4 linked regions of the Callithrix jacchus genome follow. The protein of the gene in region 1 binds, or shares a complex with, the protein of each later gene. Links are inferred from orthologs where the notes say so. Each region holds a gene or a part of one and is shown in the gene's direction. Other genes may lie near its edges. The genes, in order: RAD1, HUS1, RAD9A and RHNO1.

The links.
Region 2: the proteins of RAD1 (region 1) and HUS1 are in contact, whole or in part, in a crystal structure (PDB 8GNN), measured with the Homo sapiens proteins. The link is inferred for Callithrix jacchus from reciprocal best matches to the Homo sapiens genes RAD1 and HUS1. Residues at the interface, in NP_002844.1 of Homo sapiens: Asn85, Val88, Asp91, Cys92, Ser94, Ile95, Phe96, Gly97, Ser98, Gly127, Val128, Val129, Thr130, Val131, Cys132, Lys133, Ile134, Asn135, Gln137; in NP_004498.1 of Homo sapiens: Thr165, Ser168, Val169, Lys172, Met173, Asn175, Ile176, Glu197, Leu198, Val199, Cys200, Val201, Thr202, Thr203, His204, Phe205, Lys206.
Region 3: the proteins of RAD1 (region 1) and RAD9A are in contact, whole or in part, in a crystal structure (PDB 3GGR), measured with the Homo sapiens proteins. The link is inferred for Callithrix jacchus from reciprocal best matches to the Homo sapiens genes RAD1 and RAD9A. Residues at the interface, in NP_002844.1 of Homo sapiens: Glu165, Ala166, Ser168, Glu169, Asn195, Ala196, Gly197, Ser198, Ser199, His200, Leu201, Asp202, Tyr203, Pro204, Asp206, Ser207, Glu211; in NP_004575.1 of Homo sapiens: Leu76, Ser82, Val83, Ser86, Leu90, Lys92, Leu112, Phe116, Gly117, Val118, Arg119, Lys120, Thr121, His122, Asn123, Leu124.
Region 4: the proteins of RAD1 (region 1) and RHNO1 are in contact, whole or in part, in a crystal structure (PDB 6J8Y), measured with the Homo sapiens proteins. The link is inferred for Callithrix jacchus from reciprocal best matches to the Homo sapiens genes RAD1 and RHNO1. Residues at the interface, in NP_002844.1 of Homo sapiens: Asn47, Gly48, Ile49, Lys50, Phe64, Ile65, Gln66, Ser149, Lys155, Ile157, Glu211, Ala212, Lys240, Val241, Ser242, Arg244, Gln254, Tyr255, Met256, Phe266, Glu268; in NP_001239428.1 of Homo sapiens: Ser55, Trp56, Val57, Ser58, Pro59, Asp60, Phe61, Asp62, Thr63.

Annotation. Positions count from the first base shown.
Region 1 is NC_133503.1:170,716,204-170,722,169, forward strand, and holds the end of RAD1 (cell cycle checkpoint protein RAD1), read left to right. Parts: intron 1-319; coding exon 320-578; intron 579-2,744; coding exon 2,745-2,843; intron 2,844-3,444; coding exon 3,445-3,634; 3' UTR 3,635-3,833; downstream 3,834-5,966. UniProt on the Homo sapiens protein: Component of the 9-1-1 cell-cycle checkpoint response complex that plays a major role in DNA repair. The 9-1-1 complex is recruited to DNA lesion upon damage by the RAD17-replication factor C (RFC) clamp loader complex.
Region 2 is NC_133512.1:15,508,761-15,515,844, reverse strand, and holds part of HUS1 (checkpoint protein HUS1), read left to right. Parts: intron 1-2,198; coding exon 2,199-2,298; intron 2,299-3,567; coding exon 3,568-3,687; intron 3,688-5,989; coding exon 5,990-6,072; 3' UTR 6,073-7,084. UniProt on the Homo sapiens protein: Component of the 9-1-1 cell-cycle checkpoint response complex that plays a major role in DNA repair. The 9-1-1 complex is recruited to DNA lesion upon damage by the RAD17-replication factor C (RFC) clamp loader complex.
Region 3 is NC_133511.1:124,398,692-124,406,362, forward strand, and holds the start of RAD9A (cell cycle checkpoint control protein RAD9A), read left to right. Parts: upstream 1-3,215; 5' UTR 3,216-3,583; intron 3,584-5,984; 5' UTR 5,985-6,048; intron 6,049-7,671. UniProt on the Homo sapiens protein: Component of the 9-1-1 cell-cycle checkpoint response complex that plays a major role in DNA repair. The 9-1-1 complex is recruited to DNA lesion upon damage by the RAD17-replication factor C (RFC) clamp loader complex.
Region 4 is NC_133510.1:16,195,205-16,202,878, forward strand, and holds the start of RHNO1 (RAD9, HUS1, RAD1-interacting nuclear orphan protein 1), read left to right. Parts: upstream 1-3,535; 5' UTR 3,536-3,627; intron 3,628-3,850; 5' UTR 3,851-4,002; intron 4,003-7,674. UniProt on the Homo sapiens protein: Involved in microhomology-mediated end-joining (MMEJ) DNA repair by promoting recruitment of polymerase theta (POLQ) to DNA damage sites during mitosis.

The DNA of each region.
Region 1 (5,966 bases):
CTGTGTTGATCCATGTAGATTCTCTATCCTGAAATTTATGTATATAAAATCAAGCTATTTCTGAGGTATTTATGACAACCTGAAAATGATACCAGAGAGTTACGTTACATTTTGTTCTGGTTCCCAATTTTCTTGTATGTTTGGAATTGTCTACATACAACTGTCATCAGGGAAGATATAATCCCTTTTTATGAGGAGATACGTATATGCGAGAAATTTGGTGGAATGAATTATTCTTGAGAAATTTTATATCATTTTGAGGAGAAGCTGAACCCAGAGCTATAAAGCTAAGGCCAAGTATGATTTCTTTCCATTGCAGGGACTTTAACTGCTCTTCGGATGTGTTACCAAGGTGATGGTTACCCTTTGATGCTGTTCCTAGAAGAAGGAGGGGTGGTAACAGTCTGCAAAATCAATACGCAGGAACCTGAGGAGACCCTGGACTTTGACTTCTGCAGCACCAATGTTATTAATAAAATTATTCTGCAGTCAGAGGGACTCCGTGAAGCATTTTCTGAATTGGATATGACGAGTGAAGTCTTACAGATTACGATGTCTCCTGACAAGCCTTATTTCAGGTACTTGAGAGCGGTGGAGTTATAGTTCATGTGGTCTGTACTCTGTCTTCCCTCTAGACATTTGCTTAGGATGCAGAATTTTTATTATCCACATTTTTAGAGCTTTCACAACTTTAAATAGCTTGTACTCTTACTCATAATTTTATGGATCAAGAAACTTAAGACCCAGAAAGATTAACTCACTATTTCATATTTAGATGGTGTTGGCATGTAGATGAGAAGCCCGGTCCCCTAATTTCTAAACTAGTAATGTTTTCATACTACTTACTGTCATGTATCAGGTTACATCATGAGGAAAATTGGGTTTAAGTGTTTGGAAAGGGTATTTGTATTATATGGTATCTTTTTCAAGTTAGTTCAGGATGCAGAACATGTTTTCTACATGTGGTTCATTCATTCACTAAGGTATCTGTTGATCACCTACCATGTGCTTATTCATCTTATTGACCATTGTAGGAATAACAACTTAAAATTAAGGTGAAGCCAAGATATGTGAAACAGCAAACCATTAAGTACGAAGATAGCACACAGAGATCCCTGGGAAACACTGAATAAAGATTTAGGGAGGATAGCTCGATGCTCACTTCCAAAGAGAGGGCAGTTTTCAGCAGGAAGACAATGTCAAAAAAGCTGCTCCTTATTCTTTCACACAAGTCTCTTTCCAGGATTAGTCTCAGTTTAGAAATTCTAGCAAGAGGATCTAAATATTCTCTTTTGAAAAATTTCAGAATATTAAATAAAGGCACTAAATACATATGGAATAAAAGGTATAAGGTATTCTTTTTGTAACTGCTTTAGAAAAATTACAGACCCAGCTGGGTGCAGTGGGTCACACCTGTAATCCCAGCACTTTGGGAGGCCGAGGTGGGTGGATCACTTGAGGTCAGGAGTTCAAGACCAGCCTGGCCAACATGGTGAGACCCTGTCTAATTAGCTGAGTGTGGTGGCAGGTGCCTGTAATTCCAGCTACTCAGGAGGCTGAAGTGGGGAGAATCACTTGAACCCAGGAGACGAAGGTTGCAGTGAGCCAAAATTGCACCACTGCACTCCAGCCTAAGTGACAGAGCAAGACTCTCAAAAAAAAAAAGAAAAAGAATTACAGGTCCTTCTCATGACTTTGGGCAGTTAAAAATTTGGATCACGGTCTGACAAAGTATTAACCAAAATGGAAATTGGAAACCCTACTTTAGCTGTGGAATGAAGTGAAAAATTCAGGTACTTAAACAATATTTCAGAGGATCTCCTTCTCAGTGATCTCTCAGCCTGGGTAACTAGGTGGATCATGGTATCTTTCATCTCCAAGTTAGGAAACAATTTGGTGGTAGGGAGGTTGGAGTTGAAATGTTTTTTCTGGATATGTTAAATTTTAAGTACCTGTGACACTAGGGAATAGCTGGATATGTGGTTATGGTGCTCAGGAGATCCATCTAGACTGGGAATTTAGATTTGGGAACCATCATAATGGCTGGGCATAGATGAGGCGGGTCAGAGAGAGCGATTATATTAGAAAGAAAAGATGAACCCGGGGAAAAACAGCACCTGGAAGATGGACGGTAGAAATGGAGCTTAGGGAAAACCAACACCTGGGTCATATCATTATGCTCATGCAACACTTAGCAACTGCAGGAAATACTCCAGTCTAGCAGATGAAATCAGCACATTAACATTTATAAGTTGTTTACACATAACGTCTGCTATTACCTAGTGAGGAAAACCATGAAATAACCTTAGGAGCAATCTAAGATACAGAAAAGCTGTAATTGCTTGGTATAGGATTGGGAACAGAACCTGAGGTTTGCAGTTAACTTAGATCAAGGTCTTCCATCAGTCCTCTATTCTCTCTCCTGTTATATATTTCTGACTTAAGGATGAGGAAAATCTACTTCCAGAATAGGATTAGGGTAATGAAATTAAAGCTGTGCCCTGCCCTTTTCCTTTTACAATTAATTTTCTTCAAAGCTGTTGATTAGTTGCTAGTTGCCCTGAACTCCCACAGCATCCTGTGGGAGCTTTATTATGGTACTTGTTATCCTGTATTGTAACTATTTGTGTACATGTCTGTTTCACCCACTAGTATGGATTTCTTAAGGAAGTGTTTAGTTTATTTGGATCTTAATGTGGTTTATTTCTGGACCAATGAATAAATGAAGTAATCATTTTCTATAGGTTATCTACTTTTGGAAATGCAGGAAGTTCCCACCTTGACTATCCCAAAGATTCTGATTTGATGGAAGCATTTCATTGTAATCAGACCCAAGTCAACAGGTCAGTCCTTAATATAGAGGTTGCCATTGGTGATAAAGATAAGGCTAAATACCAGATTTCTGTTAAATAAAAACACTTTCAGCTGGGCACAGTGGCTCACACCTTTAATCCTAGCACTTTGGGAGGCCAAGGGGGGACGGATCACCTGAGGTCAGGAGTTCAAGACCAACCTGACCAATAATATGGTGAAACCCTGTCTCTACTAAAAATACAGAAATTAGCTGGGCATGGTGGCATACACCTGTAGTCCCACCTACTCGGGAGGCTGAGACAGGAGACTTGCTTGAACCCAGGAGGTAGGGGTTGCAATGAGCTGAGATCGTATGGGCAACAGAGTGAGACTCCATTTCAAAAAAGAAAAAACCCCCACTTTGTCTGTTAATAAAAATACACAGCATTTTATAAACATGAACAGTAGAGTGCTGGACTTACTAGGGGATGTAGGATGCTAACAGTGGATGAATTTTAAAAAAAGAAAATATTAGCAAATTGCATAAGTACTTGATTTTATTCTTAGATTTGCTGCTTTTTGTCCTTTACTTGGAACTCTGAGCAATGTTAACTGTGTTGATATAACAGCTTTTTATTTATTCTTCTACAGATACAAGATTTCCTTACTGAAACCCTCTACAAAGGCATTAGTCCTATCTTGTAAAGTATCTATTCGGACAGATAACAGAGGCTTCCTTTCATTGCAGTATATGATTAGAAATGAAGACGGACAAATATGTTTTGTAGAATATTACTGCTGCCCTGATGAAGAAGTTCCTGAATCTGAATCTTCAATATGACAATTCATGATATTTATGTGTACATAAATGAAGTTCTTATTCTGAGTACAATACTCTATAATTTCATATTGGATTTTCTGTAGAGAATAAGCATGGGGAAGAAAGGAGCAAGGTTGTGTACCCCAATCGTTACTATGTGTTTTGTAAATACAGTTTGTAGAGGGCGTGTAAATAAATGTTTTTATATAGTCGTAGATTATTCAGGACTGTCCTGTAGTTCTTTCTGGACTCATGAGAATAATTGTGAGCCATGAGAAATAACGTTTTATTTCATTAGAACTTTCCAGGAATCTAAAGACTGAAAGTTTGATGCAGCTACTTAAAATATTCTTTTTATTTATTTACCGTTAGAATAAGGAAAGACATATGGGCGTTGCCTCTTAGTTTGACTTCTAGAGACTAGATCTTAAAGCAGTGGTTCTCAAAAGTGTTGTGCCCGCTCCAACATCAGAACTGCCTGCAAACTTGTAGCAAACTCTGGGGAGGAAGCCAGCATTCTGTATTTTAACTGGCTTCCCTCAGGAGATTCTGATAAATGCTAAATTTTGGGAACCACTGTTTTAAAGGAAACTTTAAAAAAAAAAAGAAGTTTAATTGTATTGAGGTGATTGTTTTTACATGTCATTTCCTTGCAAATGTTCTGAAGTTGAAGCATCACCAAAGAAGTCTGAAAAATTCTTTGTGATTCATTTTTATAGTATACTTTTGAAGAGATCTGTGAATGGGATATAAAACAATTTTCAGAGTTACAGGTTTTCTTCTTCTTCTCAAAACTGTTCACTGCAGTAAGTAACTGCAGTAAGTACTTATTAGATGCTTTGCATTTGCCTCTGAGTTTCTTGACAAATTGAGGTGTAAAAAAACAGTTATAGGGGATTTTGTACTTTCCTGGTAGTTGTCACTAAAATAATTTTTGTGGGCATATAAATATTTTTATATTTAATAAAATACAACACTAAAATTATCTGACTTATTTTCTTTTTTTTTTTTGAGACAGAGTTTCGCTCTTGTTACCCAGGCTGGAGTACAATGGCGCGATCTTGGCTCACCGCAACCTCCGCCTCCTGGGTTCAGGCAATTCTCCTGCCTCAGCCTCCTGAGTAGCTGGGATTACAGGCACGCGCCACCATACCCAGCTAATTTTTTATATTTTTAGTAGAGACGGGGTTTCACTATGTTGACCAGGATAGTCTCGATCTCTTGACCTCGTGATCCACCCGCCTCGGCCTCCCAAAGTGCTGGGATTACAGGCGTGAGCCACCGCGCCCGGTGATAATCTGACTTATTTTCTAGTAGAAAAAATTACATGAGTAAAGTGAAGCTTCTGTCTTTGTAACAACAAACAGCTCAGTGTCTCTCCACAGACAGGCACTATTAGCCTTTTGGGTGGGACAGTTCTTTAGGATAAAAAACTGTCATCCCATTGCACGATTCACTTAGCCTTTCTGACCCTTACCCATTGATGGTTGTGACCACCGCCTTCCCCCAAATAAAAGTGTGCCAACTATTCATTGTTGAGAACTGTTCAATGATATTCACCAAAATTTGAGGATATACTGGAATGCCTACCTTAAAATAGGTCACATAGCGTTAGAGAAAATTGGTTTGGAGAGTATTGCGCAGAGTGTGCTGCAAGGAGGCCGCTCCAGTGCAATGGCAGGCACTGATCCCAGGCACATGGACAGTTCTGGGAGGTAGCCAGGGTCAGAACCTGATAACTAGCTAGTCTCTCAATCTCAGCATGCCTAGCAACTACAAAAGAAGTTGGAATTTCATAAAGTGTATGTGTTCAAGTAGGAAACAGATGAATTTACTAAATGTCAAAATATTTTTTGTTTAGATGAACACCAAGAACAAAACAAACCTAAAACATACATGAAAATATTTAATCAGTCAACATTCTAAGGACCATTAAATGTGAATGAAATAGCATAGTTTTTTTTGTCTTTTGTTCATTAGTGTGAACAAAGAACAGTGTCTAATATAATTGGCATTTAGTAACTTTGTTAGATGAAAGAATCTCCAATTTCAGATTTTCGTTTAGCATCTTATTAGTCACTATTTAATTCTGATTTAGCTCTATTTATTTTGATTTAAGGTTTATTTTTAACTTTATTTTTGGAGAGAAGGTCTTGCTCTGTTGCCCAGGCTGGAGTCCAGTTGTAGGATCACAGTTCACTGCAGCCTCAATCTCCTGGGCTCAAGCAATCCTCTTATCTCAGCTTCCCAAATAGCTGAGACTACAGGTGCACACCACCATGCCCTGCTAATTTTTGTGTTTTTTGTAGAGACGGTGTTTCATTATGTTGCCTAGGCTATTCTTGAACTCCTG
Region 2 (7,084 bases), on another chromosome or scaffold:
GCTTTCCAAAGACCTCTTAGGCTTTAATACTGGGCAGATAGCAACAGCATAAAGAGAAATAATATGTACTGGTTCTTTCAGGAGGAACTCTCATTGTAGGTATGGGAGTGGACCCAGATAGGTTAGCATAACCTCAAACCACACTGGCATATGCTTCATTTATAGGTTCCGTCCAATTAAAAGAACTGATTGGTTGCTGGGGTGGGTAGAGAAGAGCTTCAAAGGAAAGGAGCCCCCTGTGACCTGTGGAGACAGTCCCAGGGCAGCAAGAGCAGGAGTAGAAGAGGGGTGTCCGATGGTATGTGAGGGAGAGGCAGAAGTCTGGTAGCCTGGGTGTGTGGAGTTTGGCTCAGACATCCTCAGTCCTGGTAACCCGACAGCAGCCCCAGACCTTTCTGAATTTGGAAATTTCATTTTCCAACATGAGTTTATTTTCTAAATAAATAGCTATGTTCCCATGAGATTCTAAAGGCCTTATAGTCACATTAAATGTGTAGTTATAACAGCTGGTTTATTTATATTTTATAAAAATAGGACACTAATTTTCACATTCTTTTCTCATTTTCCCCTTTCCTGTTTTGTAATAGTTATATTATATCTACATCATCGAAGCATAAAATTATTACGTGTTCTGTCCCCTTCACTCCTGTTGTTTAGTTTTGGTTCTACAGATCAAAATAAGGCTCATACTGTTTATGCTGTAACTTCTCCAATCTTTTTTTTTTGTTATCAAAAGCTTATTCTCTAGCGTATCACTCAGGAAGGACTCACGGGAATAGGATTTCATTGGCTGTCACGGGTTCGATGTCAGTATGGCTCACTGTACTGCATTCTCTGCTGGTGTAGATTATTGCTATCAAAAAGATGATTCCATTCTGATTTTGTTTCACAGCTTGGATTTATTTACTTAAAGGTGGGGACTAAATACCATCGGTATTTTTTCCATTTTTAAAAAATCCAGTTGTCTTGGCATCCAAGGTCAGTTTTCCCAGGTGTGGTGTGTCCTTTCAGTATGTGGGCCCAACACTTCATTCACTTCAGGAACGTTTTCAGCTATAGTGGACAGCATTTCTTTTCCAGTGCTTTTTTTTTTTTTTTTTTTCTGGGACTCAGAGGGCTTGGGTCTTCTTCACCATCTTCTTTATTATTTTCTGCCAAATCCATTTTATGTCTTTTTTTGTTTGTTAAATTTTATTTTTCTCCTTTCCATCCCAGTTTCTCTTACTATTCTCTCTGTAATGCCTGTTTGCTCCAGTCTTCTTCCTTCTAAACTAGTTTCTGTTTCTGAAATTTTTTCTTAAATTTCTAATTACTTCCTGTGTTGTCGGCTGTGTTTTCATATGTGCATGCTGTGTGGTCATCTCATGTCTGAGCTTTCCTGCTTCAGATTTATGTTGTTCTTTCATAGCTTCTATCACTGTTCATTTCTTTTAGTTGGTCTTGAAATAATAGGCTATACTCTGCATCTAGTTTGCAGAGTGCCTTTAGGTTTCTAAGTGTGCTATTTAGGTATTACAATTTCTGCTTTTCTTTTTTCCGAATATCATACGGAAGTCGACCACAATCCATTTTTGTTGCTGTTGTAGGTGGTTTTCCTGGTTCTTTTAAGAGGAAGTTTCAATGTTGGAGTGGGAGTGGACCAGAATAGTTTTCTAACTTTGTGACTCTAGAATTCTCCATTTTTTGTTACCACAAAATATTAAAACATGCATCCTCTCCACTTCCCAGGACTTTCTGAGATCTGTCCCTCTTTTTCCATCATTTAAAGTTTCATTCCCTTTTTTTGCCCGACATGCCCATTCTGCTCAATTGAGGCTCTTACTTCTGTGGTTCCTTCTCAGTGCAGGACTCTCCCACTCATCAGCTCCACCCAGCCCTCCCTTGAGCTGCTCTTGTGCTCCTGTAGTCTCCTGGCAAGTCCTTCTGAGTTCCACCTGTTTTCACATCTTCACTGAGTTCTCCATTTCGGGAGGCAGGCAGGGGATTTCCCCTTTAAGATTTTTGGGAGATTTCTGAGTTCTAGGCTCTTAGGCCTTATCTTCTCTCTTTTGCTGATACCACATGGGTCTGAGTGTGCTCTGAGGTGTTTTGAGGTTTTGTAGGTTACTTTGTGATCTGGTTGCATGAAAGCTGCTGCCCATGGAGTTTTTTCCTTTTGTCTTCCTTTTTTAAGACTATGTAAAATACTTAATTTGCAGGTTATTGAAGCAAACCGAGATGGAGAATTGAATTTGAAAATAGAAACTGAATTAGTATGTGTTACAACTCATTTTAAAGATCTTGGAAATCCTCCATTAGGTAAGTTTTCTAATGGGTTATATTTTGCTTTTGGTAACTTGTTTCAGATAACCTACCTATTGAGGTCTCCTCATGTAAAAAGGTTGAAATTCAGTTTACTTTGTTTCATGCTTGGGGAAATAACAAAGGAATTGAGATTGGACTACGCATCACTGTAGCGTAGTGGGACAGTTAGCCACCAGGGGGAGGGGCTGTGCCACCAAGTAGCTAAGGGATCTATACAGGGTCTCTGTCCTCTGTAGAATTCAGTTCAAGTTGAATAACCTCCAAGATCCCTTCCAGCTCTTCAATTCCTGTTCTACGCCTAACTGGAATGGATTCAGAAGGGTTGATACACTTGTTCTTATATTCTCCTTTAGTTCCTTCCGTATGTATGAAGTTAGTGTAGCAGATTTAAGACTGTTTTACTTGATCACATTTCTCATCTCATACAAGGTAATTAGGGATGATGGAGTCAGTTCAGTAGGTGGGGAAAGAAAGGACGATTAGACAGTTTGGTGCGTCATAAGCCAAGATGGGGTTGGAATCATGGCTGGAAATTGGGCCGCTGTACAGTCCCAGGGGCTGCCTGATCAGGAAAGCAGGCAAAAGACCACAAGAGAAACTCCTATGGATGATGAGAAAGTCATTTTATGATACAAGGTGTTCCAGAAGCAAAAAACAGGCCCTAGTCAGTTTTAGAATTAAGTTACTACAGGTTTGCTTGAATGTAAACACAGACTTTAGCACAGAGTTGCAAGGAACTTTTATTTTCTAGTTAAGAGTATCCTATTTCAGCAGCGTGGAATCCATATGGTTAAGGCTGTGATAATATTGTATAAAGTGATTCATTCTGATGTCATTCATTTGTTTATTTTAATAAACACAAGATGGGACTTAACTGTGGTACTTTCTCAGAAGTTGAAAGGATGTTTTCTTTTTTTTTTTTTTTTAATTTCACTTTGGAATTACAGGCCCTGTATTAATTAATGTATATATTTTTACTCTTAAATACATAGTGAGTACTAATAAATATAATTTTCTTTGACCTAAAGAGGGAGATTGAGTCATATTTCAAGTCCCCTGTAAATAAAGAGGCCCTGGAAATGATCATAGTAGTTTAAATAGTTAGGACCTAATGCTTAATGAATGACAACATTTACAATTTTCTCTAGGATGGTAAAACCAGTGCTAAGGTGAATCATTTATTTAGGTAAAATGCATTGAGCATCTCCAGGTTTCCTGATATGTGTAAAGATGTTGTCTTTAAAAGCATTCCTGTCATTTTAGCCTCTGAAAGCACCTCTCAAGACAGAAACCCAGAACACATGGCTGAAGTACACATAGATATTAGGAAGCTCCTACAGTTTCTTGCTGGACAACAAGTAAATCCCACAAAGGCCTTATGCAGTGAGTTTGCTTCTCTTTTATTTTTCATATTTTAAATAATTCTGTCAACTCGAGTCTAACAGATTACATATAGTCTCATAAATGCAAGAAAAAAAAAGCTCAATTATGTAGACTTTAGCTTCATAGGACAGTCGGGTATTTTAGATTTTCCTGGATTCCAAAGGACCTAAAGGTGGCAGCAGAGAAACAATCCCTGGGCACTCTGTTATGGCCGAAAACCTGCAGCCACACTGGTTGGTAGGTGGGTTGTGTGCTGCCTCATTTGGCCAGCATACCTGGAGGCACTGTCAGGAGGATGGGTGCTGATCATCCCACCTTCTCCATGGTCATCTCATTTTACCTACTCAGAGCCCCAGACATGGTTTTGCTTGGATTTGAGTTTTCCCTTGTGATGTCTTGTTTCCTTTCTGTGGCTGTGCTGGTCTGTGCTTGCTGCCCGCTATCTGTCCCTCAGCTGCTGGTTGCTAAATGTTGCCTCTTGATTCTGGCTGGGCCCCATCTTCTGCAGTCACACACCTGCTCCGGCCCTCTTCATCTGCTGACCACACATGAGAAAGGCATTGCCTACCAAGAGCTTTTCAAGGCATTTTTTTTTGCCTTACTACTAGAATCACAGCAACCTAAAAGAAACTGCAGCCTGCATTTGAAGTTCCACATTTGGTAGAATAGCTCCCAGGCTGAGCTGAGAGGGAGGTTGGCCCCATACTGCACCTCATCCCCTTCGGATCTGCAGTGTGCTGTAGAGAAGGAACAGAATATTCTGGGTGGCAATGTCAAGGACCAGCCCTTTTGAATGAGACATGAAGAGAATCAGAAGAGACCATGGGAGGGGCAATGGGTGTTTGGGAATTGGGGAGGGCATCAATTGGAGTGATGGGCGCAGAGGGAGATATCACCAGAGGAGCAGCTTTAGGTTAGAGATGGAAAAGCTAGGCTAGCCCAGATCATCGGGAGTTTTAGGGTGAGGCACCTGTGCTGCATTTTAAGGAACTTTGACATAGATGGTGTCATATTTCTAGGGCTGAGCATAGTGGGAGCTGTGTGGTAGTGCAGGGTCCTTAAAGATGCTTCTCAGAACCTTGATGTGCATGGGGGTCACCTGGAGGTCTGGTAAAGCAGACTTTGTGTTCATAGTTTGGGCTGGGCCTCATGGCTGCATTTCTCACAAGCTCCTATACAATGCCCAGACCCTTGGTCCTGACAAGCACACTAAATGGTGAGAGGGTGAAATACACCTCCTCTCTGCAGAGTGCGGAAACATAGGATGTGGGGGACCCCTGTGCTGCACAACATCAGTCTTTGAACTTGACATTTGGGGGACCTTCTGAATCCAAGGCTGGTCAACACAGTTCTTATCAAAGGTGCTTGACTAAGTTACATGTCTTCTCAACGTTCAGTTTGGTGTACCCAAGTGTAGCACAAAAAACCCTAGGTTGAACTTCTCATACCTTCTCCTTAACTTTCCAAAGCTCATTTTCTGTCTGTGTCAGCCTCCTCCAGGTGCTGGCTCAGTTGTCCCCTCCTCTATCTAGGTCCTGCCACCCTCAGTCTCTGCCTCCCCGTGCCCTTGCACTACCTCTCCTAAAGAACGTTTGTCTTCCTGCGTGTGCTTTTCCATCCTTTCCCCAACCTCCCATCTCCTGGGATTGGCCTCTGCAGCCTGCTCACGCATGGTTTCTCGTCACTCACTTGCATCTGCTGGAGTGCTTTCCTTGGCTGCTGTGCTGCAACTCCCCGAGATCTCCGTGGTTGTCACACTGTATGCTCCTGCCCGCCCTCACGTGCTCTTTACTTCCCTGCTTGGTTGTATGCCTGATGCCTTGGATTTTAGCCATTACTCAGCACAGTGGCTGGCTGTGGCCCTCACAGGATTGGCAAGACTGTTGAGATGCAGGGGTCCATCCCATGCAGCAGTGTGTGACACAGCCTGTCCCAGGTGCTTGGGGATCGTGGCTCTGAGCGCTTCTGAGCACAGTTCTCTTTTCAATGATGAGGATCTGCTCTTCCCCGCAGAAGGACGCTGATGTGGGTAAATCTGGTTTGCCAGGAAGCCAGCCTGCTGGGTGTTTTGCCAAGGGCTTGGCAGTTTCACTCTTCCTCTCCTCGCCGCAGGGAGCCACCAGTGCTGGGGCGGGGATGCAGCGTCAGCTGTGGCAGTGAGAATAAGAGACTGTGGCCTCCGTAGCTGCCTCAGGGAAGACAGACGCCTAAAGCAGGTGGAGGCCGGGAAGGCTGCTCTGCAAAGTGGGAATGAAAATGTGCATGCACTAGGTCTCTACCATCACGGCTCTTCTCTTTCCAGATATTGTGACTAACAAGATGGTGCATTTCCATCTGCTTCATGAGGACGTCTCCCTTCAGTATTTCATCCCTGCGCTGTCCTAGCACCCTGTGGTTGGAGTTGGCACACAGAGACTTTGTCAGGATGGGAGAGGCCATAGACGCTGTGTTCCCACTCACTGGTCTGTGTCCTCACAGCACCGCACATCGACACACTGTACTTATTTATCCCTCTCTAACATTTCAACTAAAAATTGATTGAATGACACACAGTTGGATAAACATATCACTTCATGTTGTTCATGGCTGTTTTGTTTTGTTTTTAAGACATTAAAAAGAAAAGCTAGAATTTACTCAGACTTTAAATAACAGTTTCTCATTGATGTTGTGAAAATGCTCGTGTATTGAGTAGACTTGGTGTAGTAGCCAGAATTCATAAAGCTGTTGCCTGAGAGCTTGGTGCTTTCCCTCCGGGCAGAGACTCTAGCTCAGCACGGCATGTACCGCACAGTCGGTCTTGCATTTCAGTGTGTTCACTTAGCTTGCTCCTGTCCCCCAGGGCCCAGGGACAGAAAGGACAGCAAGCCTCTGTCACCTCACCGCCACTACCTTGGTCACTCAGAGTACTGTGGGGTGCCACAGTGCAGCATTTGGAGTCTCTTTCTTTCTCGCTGAGAACTCGAGCCCACCTGGGCCCACTCCCCTTCTGATGCCTGGAGAGCTGGCCCAGCCGACACAGCTCTTATCTGCTAGCTCTTTCTGCCGTTCCAATTCGTTTCTTCCTGGGGCCAGTTTTGGTTTTAGGTTGTAATTCCTTATATTTCTTTCTTCCACAGTGCATCGGATATGTCATTCTGGAAAGAAGACCCTTCTACTTAGAGTAGAAACAAACGAAACTTACAAGGTATCATCTGTGTTAAGTGATGAGACCATATATCTTTGATGTTTCTGAATATCAAAGCTGATTCGGTACTGGTAGATGTTCTCATTCTCCCAGAAACATATCTATCATATTTCCTGTTATAATTACATCTCATTGTCCTGTGGAGGTGGACATGATCAACATCTTTTGTTTTCTTGCTTTGTTTTATTTGAGACAGGGTCTCTTTCTGTCACT
Region 3 (7,671 bases), on another chromosome or scaffold:
GTAGCTGGGACTACCTGCACACACCACCATGCCCAGCTAATTTATATATATATATATTTTGTAGAGGCGGGGTTTTACCATGTTTCCTAGGCTGGTCTCGAACTCCTGGGCTCAAGCAATCCACACATCTCAGCCTCTCAAAGTGTTGGAATTACAGGTGTGAGCCACCGTGCCTGGCCCATCTTTCCTATTTCTATCCCTCTTCCTAAGATTATGCTCTCTGCCCTGTGATACACTACCCTGATTTGGGGAAGGGGCTGGATTCTGCTCCTTCCCTCAAAGCTGTCCTCAGAGATGGGAGCTGGCACCAAGCATTCTCAGTGATTGAGACTTCATGCCCAGTTTTAAGAGTGAACCTCTCACCCAGGCCCTCGTGTCCTCAGAGATGGGAGCTGGCACCAAGCATTCTCAGTGATTGAGACTTCATGCCCAGTTTTAAGAGTGAACCTCTCACCCAGGCCCTCGTGTCCTCAGAGATGGGAGCTGGCACCAAGCATTCTCAGTGATTGAGACTTCATGCCCAGTTTTAAGAGTGAACCTCTCACCCAGGCCCTCGTGGGACTCCCAACACTGCTCTAACCCTGAAGTGCCCGGGGGCGGGGACTTGGATTCTAGCCCCAGCTACAGTCTCTGTTTCTTTCTGTAAAGCAAAGGGATTACACCTGAAATCCCTAAGTACCCCTCTTCACTTTGATGCATTTTATTTTATTTTTATTTGAGACTGGGTCTCACTCTGTCACTCAGGTTAGAGTGCAGTGGGGTGATCTCGGCTCACTGTACCCTCTGCCTCCCAGGCTCAAGAGATCCTACCTCAGGCTCCCGAGTAGCTGGGACTACAGGGCCACCACGCATGGCTACACTTTGATACTTTTAAACAATACATGAGGCCGGGTGCAATGGCTCATGCCTATAATCCCAGCATTTTGGGAGGCAGAGGTGGGCAAATTACCTGAGGTTGGGAGTTTGAAACCAACCTGACCAACATGGAGAAACCCCATCTCTACAAAACAAAACAAAAATTAGCCAGGCACGGTGGTGGGAGCCTGTAATCCAAACTACCCAGGAGGCTAAGGCAGGACAGTTGCTTGAACTCAGACGGTGGAGGTTGTGGTGAGCCAAGATCGCACCACTACATTCTAGCCTGGGCAACAGAGCAAGACTCTGTCTAAAAACAAACAAGCAAACAAAAACATGCTATCTAGACATTGTGAGAACTTAGCCTGTACCTCCCTTCCAGAAGAGGAATGGGTGGCACCTATCTGGGTGGTATGCCTAAGGGTCACAAGATGTGGGGTACAGGGAAGCTAGTTCTGACTCCTGATCTATCCTGCTGAGCAAACATTGGGGGCTGCCTCCTATTCTTTGGCCAACCAGGAGTCCTACCCAGGCTGCCCTTTCCATATTCCTAGGGCTGCAGGTGGGTGGGTGGTGGCGAGAGTGTCGGGGGAAGCCAAGGCCAGGCCCTGCCCTCCTGCAGCCTGCGCATCTCAGAAGGCAGATCCCATCAGGAACTCAGATCCATGGGACTCACTAGAATCCATGAGGATTCCAAGGAGTAAGAAGTCAGCAATCAGGAAAAGGAAGACTGGAGGGGAAACTGCATCAAAAATGCAGACAAGAGGGTGCCAGGCATGGTGGCTCACCCCTGTAATCTCAGCACTTAGGGAGGCTGAGGCAGGTGGAATGCTTGAGCCCAGGAGTTGGAGACCTGCCTGGGCAACACGGTGAAACCCCATCTCTACAAAACAAAATAAGAACCCTATGGGCTGGGCGTGGTGGTTCATGCCTGTACTCTCAGCACTTTGGGAGGCTAAGATGGTTGAATCACCTGAGATCAGGAGTTCGAGACCAGTCTGGCCAACATGATGAAACCCCATCTCTACTAAAAAAAAAAAAATTACAAAAATTAGCCGGGCATAGTGGTGCGTGCCTGTAATCCCAGCTATTTGAGAAGCTGAGGCAAGAGAATTGCTTGAACCGGGGAGGCGGAGGTTGCAAGATGGAGATGGCACCACTGCATTCCAGCCTTGGTGACAGAGGGTGACTCTGTCTCAAAACAAAACAAAACAAAACAAAAACCCTCTGTGTACACAAAGCTCATAGAAATTGCTAAAGGGTCAAAAAAATAACAAAGAAACATATAAAACGAAAAGTAAACTGACTCCTACTCTGTCTTCCAGTCCTTCATGTCTACTCAGGCAATGACTGCAGCTGCCTTCGAGGCCCTCCAGGTATCCCATGCTTACGTAATCAAATATATTGTTATGTGTATTTTTATTTTTATTTTTGAGACCCAGTCTTTCTCTGTAGCCTAGGCTGGAGTGCAATCTTGGCTCACTGCAACCTCTGCCTTCGGGGTTTAAGCGATTCTCCTGCCTCAGCCTCCTGAGTAGCTGGGATTATAGGTGCCCACCACCGCACCTTGCTCTATTTTTAGTAGAGAAGGGGTTTCATCATGTTGGACAGGCTGGTCTCGAACTCCTGACCTTAGGTGATCCACCCGCCTCGGCCTCCCAAAGTGCAGGGACTACAAGCGTGAGCCACTGCGCCCGGCCAGATCCTAGGTTTCTAGATTGTCATTGTTTGAGCCTAACTCGAGAGTGGGGAAGGTGGCTCCCGGGCAGTCAACTGAATGCACAGTTCCGCCCAAGGAAGGCCCTGGGTCCGGAAGTGCTCGGAGCTCGCGAGTGCGAGGGTCCGGATGGCTGCTGCTCCCGGAGCCCGCTTTCAATTCCCACTGGGCACAGGAGCCCCTCAGCAGCGCGAGGGGTCGCCCAGCCCGGACCCGGAACACTTGCTGCACGACCGTGGCGCGCGTCCCTCTGGAACCAGCTCCCACAGTCCGAGCGTCCTCCCTCTTCTGCGTCCGGCTCTGCCCAGGCTGGGGCGGGGCCTCAGAAGCGGCCGCCTTCGCGCTAGCCAGCACAGTCCCTCGTCATGCCAACTTTTCAAACGGCAAAATCAACCGCGCTGAAGAGACTGTGCCTCCGTCTCCTCACTGCGTATCTCAGTTGCCTCAGAGAAACTATCTTTCAGACCTTCGCGGTCTCTCCCGCGCCCGCAGCGCCCGGGAGCTGGGGACCGGGACTTACCCACATCGACTGCGACGTTTGGGCGCCACCTTGCGTCCGTTCCGTTAGCCTCCATGGACAACCCGGAAACCACATTTCCCAGCGTGCCTAGCGCCTCTGAGCAGGCGCAAAGAGTGTCCCCTCGTTGCCATGGGAACCTCGCCCCTACTTAGAGTCCCGACCGCTTGACTCCACGAAGCGCGAACGTGTTGTTTCTTCTTGAGGTGCGCTGGGGCTGGGACCCGGTTTGCAGAAGGTCCGGGGGGCGGGGGGCGGCGCAGGGGACTTGAGGAGAGGAGACCAAGCCGGCCTTGCCTCCGAGACCAGCGCTTCCCAATTCTCGGCGGCGTCCCGGCGTCCACACGCTGCTGAGGCCTCGGCGTTCTCAGGAGAGGGACTGGCGAGGCGACCCGGGTCCGCGAGGCCGGGGTCCGGTTGTGGCCCGCGGAGCCCCGCTCGCCTGCACCAGCGTCTGGTCACTTCGAGCCGAGGGCCCTGAGCGTGGCGGACAGGTACTCCCGGGCGCTGGCAGCCCGCGGGGAGGGTTCGCGCCGCAGGTGAACGCGGAGGTAGAATCGGGCAGGGCAGTGAGTGCGCCCGAGGCTGGATCTGGCTCAGCCGCTGGTGGATTCGGAGCCCGGGAGGCCCCCAGGCGCTGTGGGCTTCAGCTCCCCGGCTCTGTAAAATGGGGCTTGGACTAGAATTCTAGTGCCCGTTGCGATTCCGTTGCAGAGCAGGCCCAGGCTCTGTGCGACCTACCAGTTCCTTCCTCTGTAGAATAAGGGGTCTGAAACAGAAGCCTCTTCTGAGGGTGCAGTATGTCACACACTACTGGCCTCATTGCTCCATGTTGCACCCCAAGTGCAAGAAGAAAGAAGAGTCCTGAGATGATCTGAGCAAGACTCTCAGCTTGGGATCTAGAGTCAGAGAAACTTGGGTTTCTGACTTTGGACAAAGTTAGCCTCAGCCTCTTCATCTGCAAGACTGGGGATAATGGTAACACCGCCTCGGATTTTTGTGGATTAAATGAGATGATGCATGTAAGGTGTTTTTGTTTTGTTTGTTTTGTTTTTGAGACGGAATCTTCCTCTGTCGCCCAGGCTGGAGTACAGTACAATGGCGCGATCTCGGCTCACCGCAACCTGTGCCTCCAAGGTTCAAGCGAGTTTCCTGCCCTAGCATTCCGAGTAGCTGAGACTACAGGCCTGCGCCACCACGCCCGGCTAATTTTTTGTATTTTTAGTAGAGATGGGGTTTCACCGTGTTAGCCAGGATGGTCTCAATCTTCCTGATCTTGGCCTCCCAAAGTGCTGGGATTACAGGCGTGAGCCACCTAGCCCAGCCCTACCAGCTCCCCCGCGACCCCCCCGCCCTCTCAGACATTGTTTTGCTCTTGTTCCCAGGCTGGAGTGCAGTGGCACGATCTCAGCTCACTGCAACCTCTGCCTCCCAGGTTCAAGCGATTCTCCTGCCTCAGCCTCCTGAGTAGCTGGGATAACAGGCATGCACCCCCATGTCCAATTAATTTTGAATTCTTAGTAGAGATGGGGCTTTTCCATGTTGGTCATACTGGTCTCTAACTCCTGACCTCAGGTGATCTGCCCGTCTTGGCCTCCCAAAGTGCTGGGATTACAGGCTTGAGCCTGGCCACATGTAAGTTTTTAGTCCAGGGACTGCATAGAGGGAGTGCTATCCCATGTCCTAGCTCTCATTTTTGATAATTTTTACAACAGTCCCTAGCCACTGTAAGACCTTTTCTTAATATTTGAAGTCATTTTATTTCTGGGCAAATCCATTTTCCTAGGCAGGACAGTTTTTTTGTTTTCTTGTTTTGAGACAGGGTCTCTGTGGTCCAGGCTGGAGTGCAGTGGCATGATCTCTGCCCACTGCAACCTCCTCTGCCTCCTGGGTTTAAGCGGTTATTATGCCTCAGCCTCCTGAGTAGACAGGACTACAGGCATGTGCCATCACGCCCGGTGAATTTTTGTATTTTTTGGTAGAGATGAGCGTTCACCATTTTGGCCAGACTGGTCTTGAACTCCTGGCCTCAAGAGATCTGTCCGCCTCAGCCTCCCAAAGTGCTGGGATTACAAGCATGAGCCACCTTGCCCAGCCTGAAGTTATTTTATTAGACATACATGCTGTCTCAGAGCCATTCTTCTAGGGGAAGAAGGCGAATGGGCAGATCATTATGGGGCAAGGGCCATATTGTTGGCATCTTTAGTATAGTACCAGCTAATTGAGAGCCAAGGGAACAAGGTGCATAAATGGATAGGGGGTTTGTGAGCCTCTTTCCCTGGAGCTAAGGTGAAGAACCATGAGGGAAAGAAACTGCAGCACAGGATCATGTAGCAGTCCTCAGGACCAGTGATGGCAGTGATGGGTAGTCCCTTGACTCCTGTGTTCATTCTTGGCTTTTTTTCTTCTATGGCTCACTCCTTCCTAGGGAGGTTTCTCTCCCATCTGTGACCTAACTGGGAATGGGAAACTCTGTCCACCATGCCAACAGATTGCCAAGGCCTGCAGCTGCTGCACAAGAAGGAAGCTGGCTTCAGTAGCACCATCTTCAGGCTGACTTCCAGGGCCCTGCCCTTCTCCAGTTCTGTCCAGGGCTGAACCTGCACTAGGAGGTAGCCTTGAAGGACGCCCCTTAGAGATGGGTGTCTAATGGCCTGGAGAGGGGAGAACTACCTCAGGACCTGGGACGGCAAAAGTGGAAAAGGTTGAAAGGAGAAAGGCCTGAGGACAAGTCCTGTTTCATTCATCAAAGGTCTTAAGGTCTTAATTTCCTGCTGGAATCTTCTGTTGCTCAGAAGGTGCAGTCGTCCTCAGAACAAGGAAGCTGGGGAGAAATTAAGCAGGTGCAACCAGAGAGGAGATAGAGCACAACTGACTGTCTTTTTTTGTCCCTAGATTTGGGAGGCTGGAGGACATCTGGGGGCCACAAATGCTCCTTTTACTAGAGACTCAACTCAAGGTGAGCCTTTACACCATCCTTCTGGCAGCCTGTGCTCCCATCTCAGAACAGTTTTTCCTTTTCATCCTTCTTTCCCAGTTCACTCCTACTCCACAGGCCACAGGTAAGTGCCTGCAGGGTGCATCAGGATTTCCTTATAGCTAAATGCCATGTGAAGCCTGAGGAACTCCAGGCCTGGTACTTGAGAAAAGGTTATGGCAGCCCAGTGCCCACCACAGAGGCTTCTGTCTGCCTGCTTCAAGGGCATTATGGTCCTGGACGATTCACTAAGTGCTGGCACTTACATGAGATCTCATTGGATCTCAACAGCTGTAAGGTCTTGTGTTATGACTTTCACTTTTCCACATGAGGGATCTGATTTCTTAGGTTGTAGGTCAAAGAACTGAATGATGCCACTGAGACCAGTGATCTTTCCACTGCTTCCATTATCACTGATAGGATGCCATCTGTCTCCTAGTGAGAGCACTGTCCTAGGAAAACCTGAAACTAGACCAAGACTCTCCTTTTCCCATTTCAGCTAGAATTTCCTGCCCATTTTCCTCAGTGTTCTAACCCAGCACAGCTTCTCCCCGTCATTGGACACATTTGATCCAAGTTTCTCACTCTTATGCCCTCAGTGATGCTGACTTGTTCTCAGGGCAGTGGCTCCCATCAGAGAGCTCGTGCTCTTCGCCTTGACTCCTCCAGGTGCACTCTCTCCCAGGTAGGCGTCCTGGGTAGCTGTGAGTCTCTAGGGAATTCTGTTTCTGGGTTAGAGAACCAGGAATGGGAAAAGTGTTCCCCCACTGGGTGGGGAAGGAAGTTGGCAAAAATTTGCCTGATGGGATTGGCCTGGGTAGTAATGCTATACCCTATGTGACCCCATCTCATTGGCACCCCTGACAGAGCAGCTCAGTGAGCTACAGAGGTAGAGGTAGAAGGTGAGTGTGGCAGGGAAGCTGAAAGCCCAGGCTAAAGGCTAAAGCAGGACCCCACCTGCTGCTGGCATAACTCAAGCCAGAGCCATGGAGGTGAGGTGGGAGACAGGTTTGGGTAAAGGAGGATGCCCCTGGGGAGAGGGAGCTGGTTATATGCATCCTACATAATCGATCTTCACATGGCCTGAGAAGGCTTGGGGCTGGTCTGGTTTGCCCATAACAGCAAACCCAGGCAGCGCGCACTGCTATGCAGCTCCTCTCTTCGTTTGGTGGACTGACTCCCATCCTTTCATGGTCCTCCACCCTCTCTGGTGGCTCAGCTAGGTGCCTTCTTTAGCTTTGTCTGCCATCTGAGTGTTCCTATAACAGGCTGAACTCTGCCTTCTCAGAATGTCCTCACTCCTGCCAAACCAAATCTCTTATTTTCAACACAGAAATGAGAAATTGGGAGAGAAACCGAGTGCCATGGGGCTAGAGTATGTGGTTTGGAGGCAACCAGTGGAATAATTTTGGGGTCAATGGGATGCTGAGCTGATAAGCAGAGATCCTCCCCACCCCTACTGTGGTGGGTGGGGCTGTGTAGAGCAAGGCCTATATACAACAAGATCCGCAGGTGGTCCCCACTTGCCCGCCTACCATCGTGCGCCAGCTTCACCCTCCACCTTGGCCCTGTTCATTCCTCTCTTCCCTCTTTCCCACTTCTTCT
Region 4 (7,674 bases), on another chromosome or scaffold:
CCTATGACCAGGAACATGAGCTCAAAGGCAGAGGTGAACGCTCCATGGACTTTTGTAAAGACCTCAGATAATAAGGCGATAATAATTGCTAAAATTACAGCAGACAGAAGCAATTCAAAGGGCAAAAATGGGACTGGGTTGGAGATAGCCAAAGATCTCCTTCTTGAAGCTTCAGAATATTTGGCTACAGAAATGGATGGGACAGCTACAAAAATGTGGAAATCTCTCTAATTGCCTACTATAATATAAATAGATAACTTGCAATGACTGTACGGACAGCAATGGAAGATGCTAGAATAGGAGCATATGGTAATTAGGAGTCCTGAGAAAACTCTGATCCCATAATCCATTCTAAGATAAAGCCTTTTAATTTTTTTTTTTTTTTTTTGAGACAGAGTCTGCCTTTGTCACCCAGGCTGGAGTGCAATGGCACGATCTCAGCTCATTGCAACCTCCACCTCCTGGGTTCAAGCGATTCTCATGCCTCAGCCTCCCAAGTAGCTGGGATTACAGGCACCCACCACCATGCCTGGCTAGTTTTTGTATTTTTGGTAGAAACAGGGTTTCACCATGTTGTTCAGGCTGGTCTGAAACTCCTGACCTCAGGTGATCCACCCAGCTCAGCCTCCCGAAGTGCTGGGATTACAGGCGTGAGCTACGCGCCCAGCCAGGCCTTTTAATTTTTGTGTTACTTCGTAAATAGGACCAGTGCAACAGAATCAGGGAAGAAAGGCAGACTGTACTATTGCCACACCACTGGAAAAATCATCTCCTAGTTTACAAGACCTCACATAAAATGGAAACCTCTACTGGAGGCCCATGTAAAGTTGTGCAGCTTGTGCTCTGAACAGCTCTAGAGGGTGACATTTATTTCTCAGGCTATTATACTTGCTCGAATTTTAAAAGAATATGTTTTCTTTTACAATTTGTACTATATTTATCCAATGGCATTTTAGTACTTGCACATGGCTACATATATTTTAACTTTCTAAGCATGCCACTTCATTAATTTCTTTTCTAGAACTAAGACTATAATCCCTGCCTCCTTACTACCAGAATGTGCTATCATCAATACACTAAGGTGGTTCTCAAATGCTAACAGTGTAGCTTTTTCTTTTTTAAGCATTTCGTTCATTTTTTTTTTGAGACAAAGTTTTGCTCTTGTCACCCAGGCTGGAATTTAATGGCACGCGATCTCAGCTCACTGACACCTCTGCCTGCCTCTCAGGTTCAAGTGATTCTCCTGCCTCAGCCTCCCGAGTAGCTGCGATTATAGGCGTACACCAACACGCCAGTTAATTTTTTTTTTTTTTTAGCAGAGATGGGGTTTCACCATGTTGGCCAGTTTGGTCTCAAACTCCTCAGGTGATCCACCCACCTTAGCCTCCCAAAGTGCTCAGATTACAGGTGTGAGCCACTGTACCCAGCCTTTATTTTTTTTTGAGATGGAGTCTCGCTCAGTTGCCAAGGCTGGAGTGCAGGGATTACATCTCGGCTCACTGCAACCTCCGTCTCCCAGGTTCAAGCGATTCTCCTGCCTCAGCCTGAGTAGCTGGGATTACAGGTGCCCACCACCACGTCCAGCTAATTTTTGTATTTTTAGTAGAGACAGTGTTTCACCACGTTGGCCAGGCTGGTCTAGAACTCCTGACCTCAGGCGATCTACCCACCTCAGCCTCGCAAAGAGCTGAGACTACAGGTGTGAGCCACCACACCCAGCCTGATTTTTAAAATTTTTTTGAGATGTTGTTTTGCTCTTGTTGCCCAGGCTGAAGAGCAATGGTGCGATCTTGGCTCACTGCAACCTCCACCTTCCTGGGTTCAAGTGATTCTCCTGCCTCAACCTCCACCTTCCTGGGTTCAAGTGATTCTCCTGCCTCAACCTCCCAAGTAGCTGGGATTACAGGTGTGCACCACCATACCTGGCTAATTTTGTATTTTTAGTAGAGATGGGGTTTCACCATGTTGGTCAGGCTGGTCTCAAACTCCTGACCTCAAACTTCTGCCCATCTCAGCCTCCCAAAGTGCTGGCATTACAGGTGTGAGCCACCGTGTCTGGCCCTTTGCTGATTTTAATAGATATATGGAATATTCTACTATTAAGTAAACTTGTATAATTCTATTTCATGGAACTATGGGAGACAGAGGAATTGGCTGTTTCTCTCTCTCTTTTTTTTTTTTTTGAGACAGAGTTTTGCTGTGTTGCCAGGCACCAGGCTGGAGTACAGTGGTGCGATCTTGCTCACTGCAACCTCCACCTCATGGGTTCAAGCAATTCTTCTGCCTCAGCCTCCCGAGCAGCTGGGACCACAGGCGTGCGCCACCATGCCCAGCTAATTTTTGTATATTTTTAGTAGAGATGGGGGTTTCACCATGTTGTCCAGGATGGGCTCCATCTCCTGACCTTGTGATCTGCCTGCCTCGGCTTCCCAAAGTGCTGGGATTACAGGCCTGAACCACCGCGCCAGGCCTTGGCTGTCTCATTTTTAGGACACTTGTCTCCCTGAAAAGCAACTGCACTTTCTTGACATTTGCCATCTGCATAGAGTTCACAGGCCCTCCACACTTCTACCTTCAAATCTGTTTCACCTTCACCTCATATCTTTCCAGGCCTCCCTCTCTCCCTGCATCAATCAGTAGATACTGTTATTTTTCCACAGGATATCTAAGTCTTAAGTTTCTCTTCTAATTCCTGACCAACCTCTTAGTATTATTGCCGACACTTTCTTGCCCGGGAAACTTCCAGAGTGGCTCCTCTGACCCATCCCCATCCCAAGCGGGGAAATCTTGCTACATTCTCAAGAACCAGGAGAAGGGTGGTGGCCAAAGGGTAAGATGGAGGCAGTGTTGCCTAGTGGTGAGACAGCCTGGGAGCAGGGGAGTGTGTACGTATGTTGGTCTTTGACTCAATATAGTACAAGCTCAGTCTTCATCGCAGCCACAGTCGGCCTAAGGAAGAAAGTAGGTCACCCCAGCCCTCCCGAGGCTGTGGGCAGGGTGCAGAGGTCAGACTTCAGGGAAGTCCATGGGGCGCTTTAAGTAGTGAGAATGCCAAGGCCAGGAGGTTGGATGCAGAAAAAATTTGCACCCTGGCTCAGACCTTCTCCCCGTATGGCCCAAACCTCCACTGGTGGCCCGTGCCCTGCTGCTAGACGCCCTGACCTCCGCACCCGGAGGCCTTGCTCCCCGCCTGTGCCTAGGCCAGGCCTGGGACTCCATTCCTGCATCCCGCTCACCTCCAGACTGCAGTCGCCGCCGCCGTTGGGCCGTGGCTCCGAAGGCGGGCTCCGGGCTCCTCCAACCTGGGGGCCGAGCCCGGACCCCGGACGGGGACTCGCGCCGGACCGGCCGGGTCCCCGGCGGTGCGGGCGGGGTGGGAACCCCGGGGGATCCCGGGAAGGGAGGGGGTCCCTGGCCGGGGCCGGGGGTGGGGTCTGGCACCGGAGCTTTCAGTTTGTTCCGCTGTTTGAAACTGGCGCCGGCGGAGCGTTAAGGTCACGTGACGGAACGTCGCCAATCGGCGCCGGCTTGTCTCGGCATTCGGGGCTCGAACGCGGCGCGGTGTGACAGGAGCGGCGGCCCTGGCCGGCCCGGGCTGGTAAGGCGGCCCGCTGGCCTGTTCGTGGGGTAAGAGGTGGCCGTGAGGTCAGGGAGGGGCCGGAGGGGTCTCCGCGGCGTGGGTGGGCGAGCAGAGGGACAGTTTGGGGACGCGCGGAAGCGGCGTGACAGGCCCGGCTCCCTGGGCCCGCTTCCCTGCCGCCCTAGCCAAGTCAGGCGACACGCCCCTGTCTCCCCTCGAACTGCTCTGCTCCCCTTTTCAAAGGTCGGCTTTACTTGATTTCCTTCCCAGGGGAAATCGTACCCAGTTTTCCTACAGCGAACGATTATTTGCTCCCCGCGATTAGCCCGAGGGTTCTTTGAGGGCTGCGTGTGATCTCAGCTTTCTTCCATCTTGGAAAAAATGTCGGCACCTTGAGCCCTACGTGCGCGCGAAATCTTAAGGTACTGACCTGTCTTTGCCCCTCCCAAAGCTAAGCCTTCGGATACAATAGACTGTAGTGCTTTATTTATTTACTTAGCCTGTCTAGTTGAACAACTACTATGTGCCAGGCACCGCTAGGCCCTGAGGGTACAATGGCAGACAAGGTTCTTAACTTCCCTTGGACTCACAGCCCAATCCTGGGAGAGGGGCTCAGACGTTTTTAAGTAATCAAATAAACAAATGTGGGCTGGGTACGGTGGCTCACGCCTGTAACCCTAGCACTTTAGGAGGCCGAGGCAGGTGGATGGATTGAGGTCACGAGTTCAAGACCAGCCTGGCCAACATGGTGAAACCGCTTCTCTACTAAAAATTAGCCGGGTGTGGTGGTGCGTGCCTGTAGTCCCAGCTACTCTGGAGGCTGAGGTGGGAGGATGACCTGAGCCGGAGAGGTGGAGGCTATGGTAAACTGTTACACCACTGCACTTCAACCTGGACGGAGGGAGTGACAGAGGGAGACACCATCTCCAAAACAAACAAACACACAATAGTGGAATTACTGCTGTCAAGTGAAACAGTAGAGCTTAATGATACTTTGAGTATTTACAATAAGGAGATCTTGAGAGGTAGGACAGGAAAGGCTTTTCCCGTGAGAGCTTGGTGTGTGAGATCTGGTACCTTTTACAAAAAAAGGAGGGAACCTCCATAAGCAGAGGGAATCAGGTGTGCAAAGGCGGCATGGCAGGAGTAAGCACGGTGAGGAATATCTGAGGGGTTTGAGCTAATCAGCCTGAGTGGAGTGTGGTGTGAGTTGAAGCTGGAGGCAGAGGAAGCAGGCCTTCGCCATACTGAGAAGTTTTATGCTTATCCAAGAATAAAGGAAATCAATCATAAGCTTGAAGCAGAAGTGAACTGAGGTCAGATTTGCATTTTAAAAGGTCCCTCTACAGCAGGGGTTGCTAGAGTGGATTAGGGCAGACCAGTTGGATATTGCAATACTCCAGGCAGGAACTGCTTGAGCTTGAAAAAGGTTGTCAGGGAGAGAGGAAGAAAAGGAAGGAAACAGAGAGTGAAAAAGGGGCATTATGAAAGGTGTTTAAAAGGTAAAGTTGACAGGGCTTGATGGTGGGTTGGATGGGAGGTGGGAAGATAGAAGTGTCAAGATATTTGGCTGCATAATTGAAAGAATAATGACACCATTCCCTGATCAAGAGCCCTGGAAGATAATCACTTTGGCCAAGGGGTGGCGGTGAGGTTGTCAGGGAATGACTGTGAATTCAGTTTTTGTTTTTTACTACAAAGCAATGCTCAGAATGAGTTCAGTTGTTTTTTTGGTTTTGTTTGAGACGGAGTCTCGCTCTGTTGCCAGACTGGAGTGCAGTGGTGAGATCTAGGCTCACAGCCACCTCTGCCTCCTGGGTTCAAGAGATTCTCTTGTCTCAGCCTCCCAAGTAGCTGGGATTACAGGCACGTGCCACCACACCTAGCTAATTTTTGTATTTTCAGTAGAGATGGGTTTCACCATGTTGGCCAGGATGGTCTCGATCTCCTGACCTCGTGATCCGCCTGGCTCGGACTCCCAAAGTGCTGGGATTACACGCCTGAGCCACTGCGCCCGGCGGAGTTCAGTTTTTAAAAAAAATTTTATATATTTATTTTTATTTATCTTTTTATTTTTTAGAGACAGGGTCTTGCTCTGTCCCCCAGGCTGAAGTCCAGTGGCATGACCTTGGCTTACTACAGCCTCAGCCTCCTGGGCTTAGGTGATCCTCCCACCTCAGTCTCCTGAATGGCTGGGATTACAGGCACATGCCACTATGCCCAGCTAATTTTTGTATTTTTTGTAGAGACAAGGTCTCACTCTTGCCCAGATTGATCTTGAACTCTTGGGCTCAAGGGATCCTCCCACCTTCACCTCCTAAAATGCTAGCATTACAGGTGTAATGCCAGCCAATGCAACCGGCCAAGTTCAATTTTAAACTTGTTGAATTTTTTTTTCTTTTCTTTTTTTGAAGCCAGTTTCTGGCTCTGTCGTCCAGGCTGGAGTGCAGTGGTGCGATCTCGGCTCACTGCAACCTTCGCCTCCTGGGCTCAAGTGATCTGCCAACCCCAGCCTCCTGAGTAGCTAGGATTACAGATGCCCACCACCAAGCGCACCTAATTTATTGTATTTTTTGTAGAGTTCTGGTTTCGCTATGTTGCCCAGTCTGGTCTCAAACTCATGAGCTCAAGCAATCGCCTGCCCTGGCCTCTGAAAGTGCTGGGATTACAGGCGTGAGCCACTGCGCTCAGCCTTAAACATGTTGAATTTGAGGTGCATTTGAAATATCTAGTTGATGTTCAGGTAGGTAGTGGGACTGAACTTAAGGAATTCTAAAATGAGTATATAAATATTGAAGTCATCTACTTATAGGTGGTTACGGAAATACAGGTAGATGAGTTTGCCTAAGAAAAGTATATAGAGTGAGAATAGCTCCGAAGCACAACCAGAGGGGAAGGACTTAGATACCAGAATGAACTGACCTCTAGTTAGAGCAGAAAGAAGATAGATGCTGATATGCATAGGTTTGTGTGTTTGCTTTCTGTAAAATCCGAGTATTTCCTTTGATGTCTTCTGCATTCGTTGTCAAGTCTGAAGTAAAATCATTTGTTAACAGAAAAGGGGTGTTCTGACATTCTAAGAAAGTGGGCAGGGTATGGTGATTCACACCTGTAATTCTAGCACTTTGGGAGGCTGAGGCAGGAGAATCACTTGAGCCCAGGAGTTCAAGACCAGCCTGGACAACACAGCAAGACCCCATCACTAAAAAAAATAAAATAAAATAAGAAACCAGCCAGGTGTGGTGGTGCTTGTCTATAGTCCCAGCTCTGCAGGAGCCTAAGGCAAGAGGATCTCTTGAACCCAGGAGTTTGAGACTGCAGTGAGTTATGATCATGTCACTGGACTCCAGTCTGGGCAACAGAGCAGGAACTCACCTCTAACAGTAATTTAAAAAATTAAAATAAAAATTTTCAGCCTGGACGTGGTGGCTCAGGCCTGTAATCCCAGCATTTTCAGAGGCTAAGGTTGGCAGATCACCTGAGGTCAGGAGTTCAAGACCAGCCTGGCCAACATGGCGAAACCCCATCTCTACTAAAAAATATAACAATTAGCTGGGCATGGTGATGGGTACTTGTAATCCCAGCTACTCAGGAGACTGAGGCAGGAGAATTACTTGAACCTGGGAAGCAGAGGTTACAGTGAGCCTAGATTGCACAACTGCACTCCAGCCTGGGCAACAGAGTGAGACTTCATTTCAAAACTAACAAACAAAAATTTCCACTTTTTTTTTCGAGATAGGGTCTGTCTGTCACCTAGGCTAGAGTGTAGTGGCATGATCATAGCTCACTGCATCTTCAGACTCCTAGGCTCAAGTGATCCTCCCACCTCAGCCTCCCAAATAGCTGGGACGACAGGTGTGTCCCACCATGTCCAACTAATTATTCTTTTAAATTTTTAGTCAAGACGAGGTGTCACTATGTTGCCCAGGCTGGTCTTGAACTCTTGGCCTCAAGCAGTCCTCCCACCTCAGCCTCCTAAAGTTCTGGGATTATAGGCATGAGCTACTGTACATAACTTGGAGAAATTTTAACATAATCTTTGTGGAGAATGAGTTGATCAAGGAAACAGGATTGCTGAGCAATGTACCCATTTG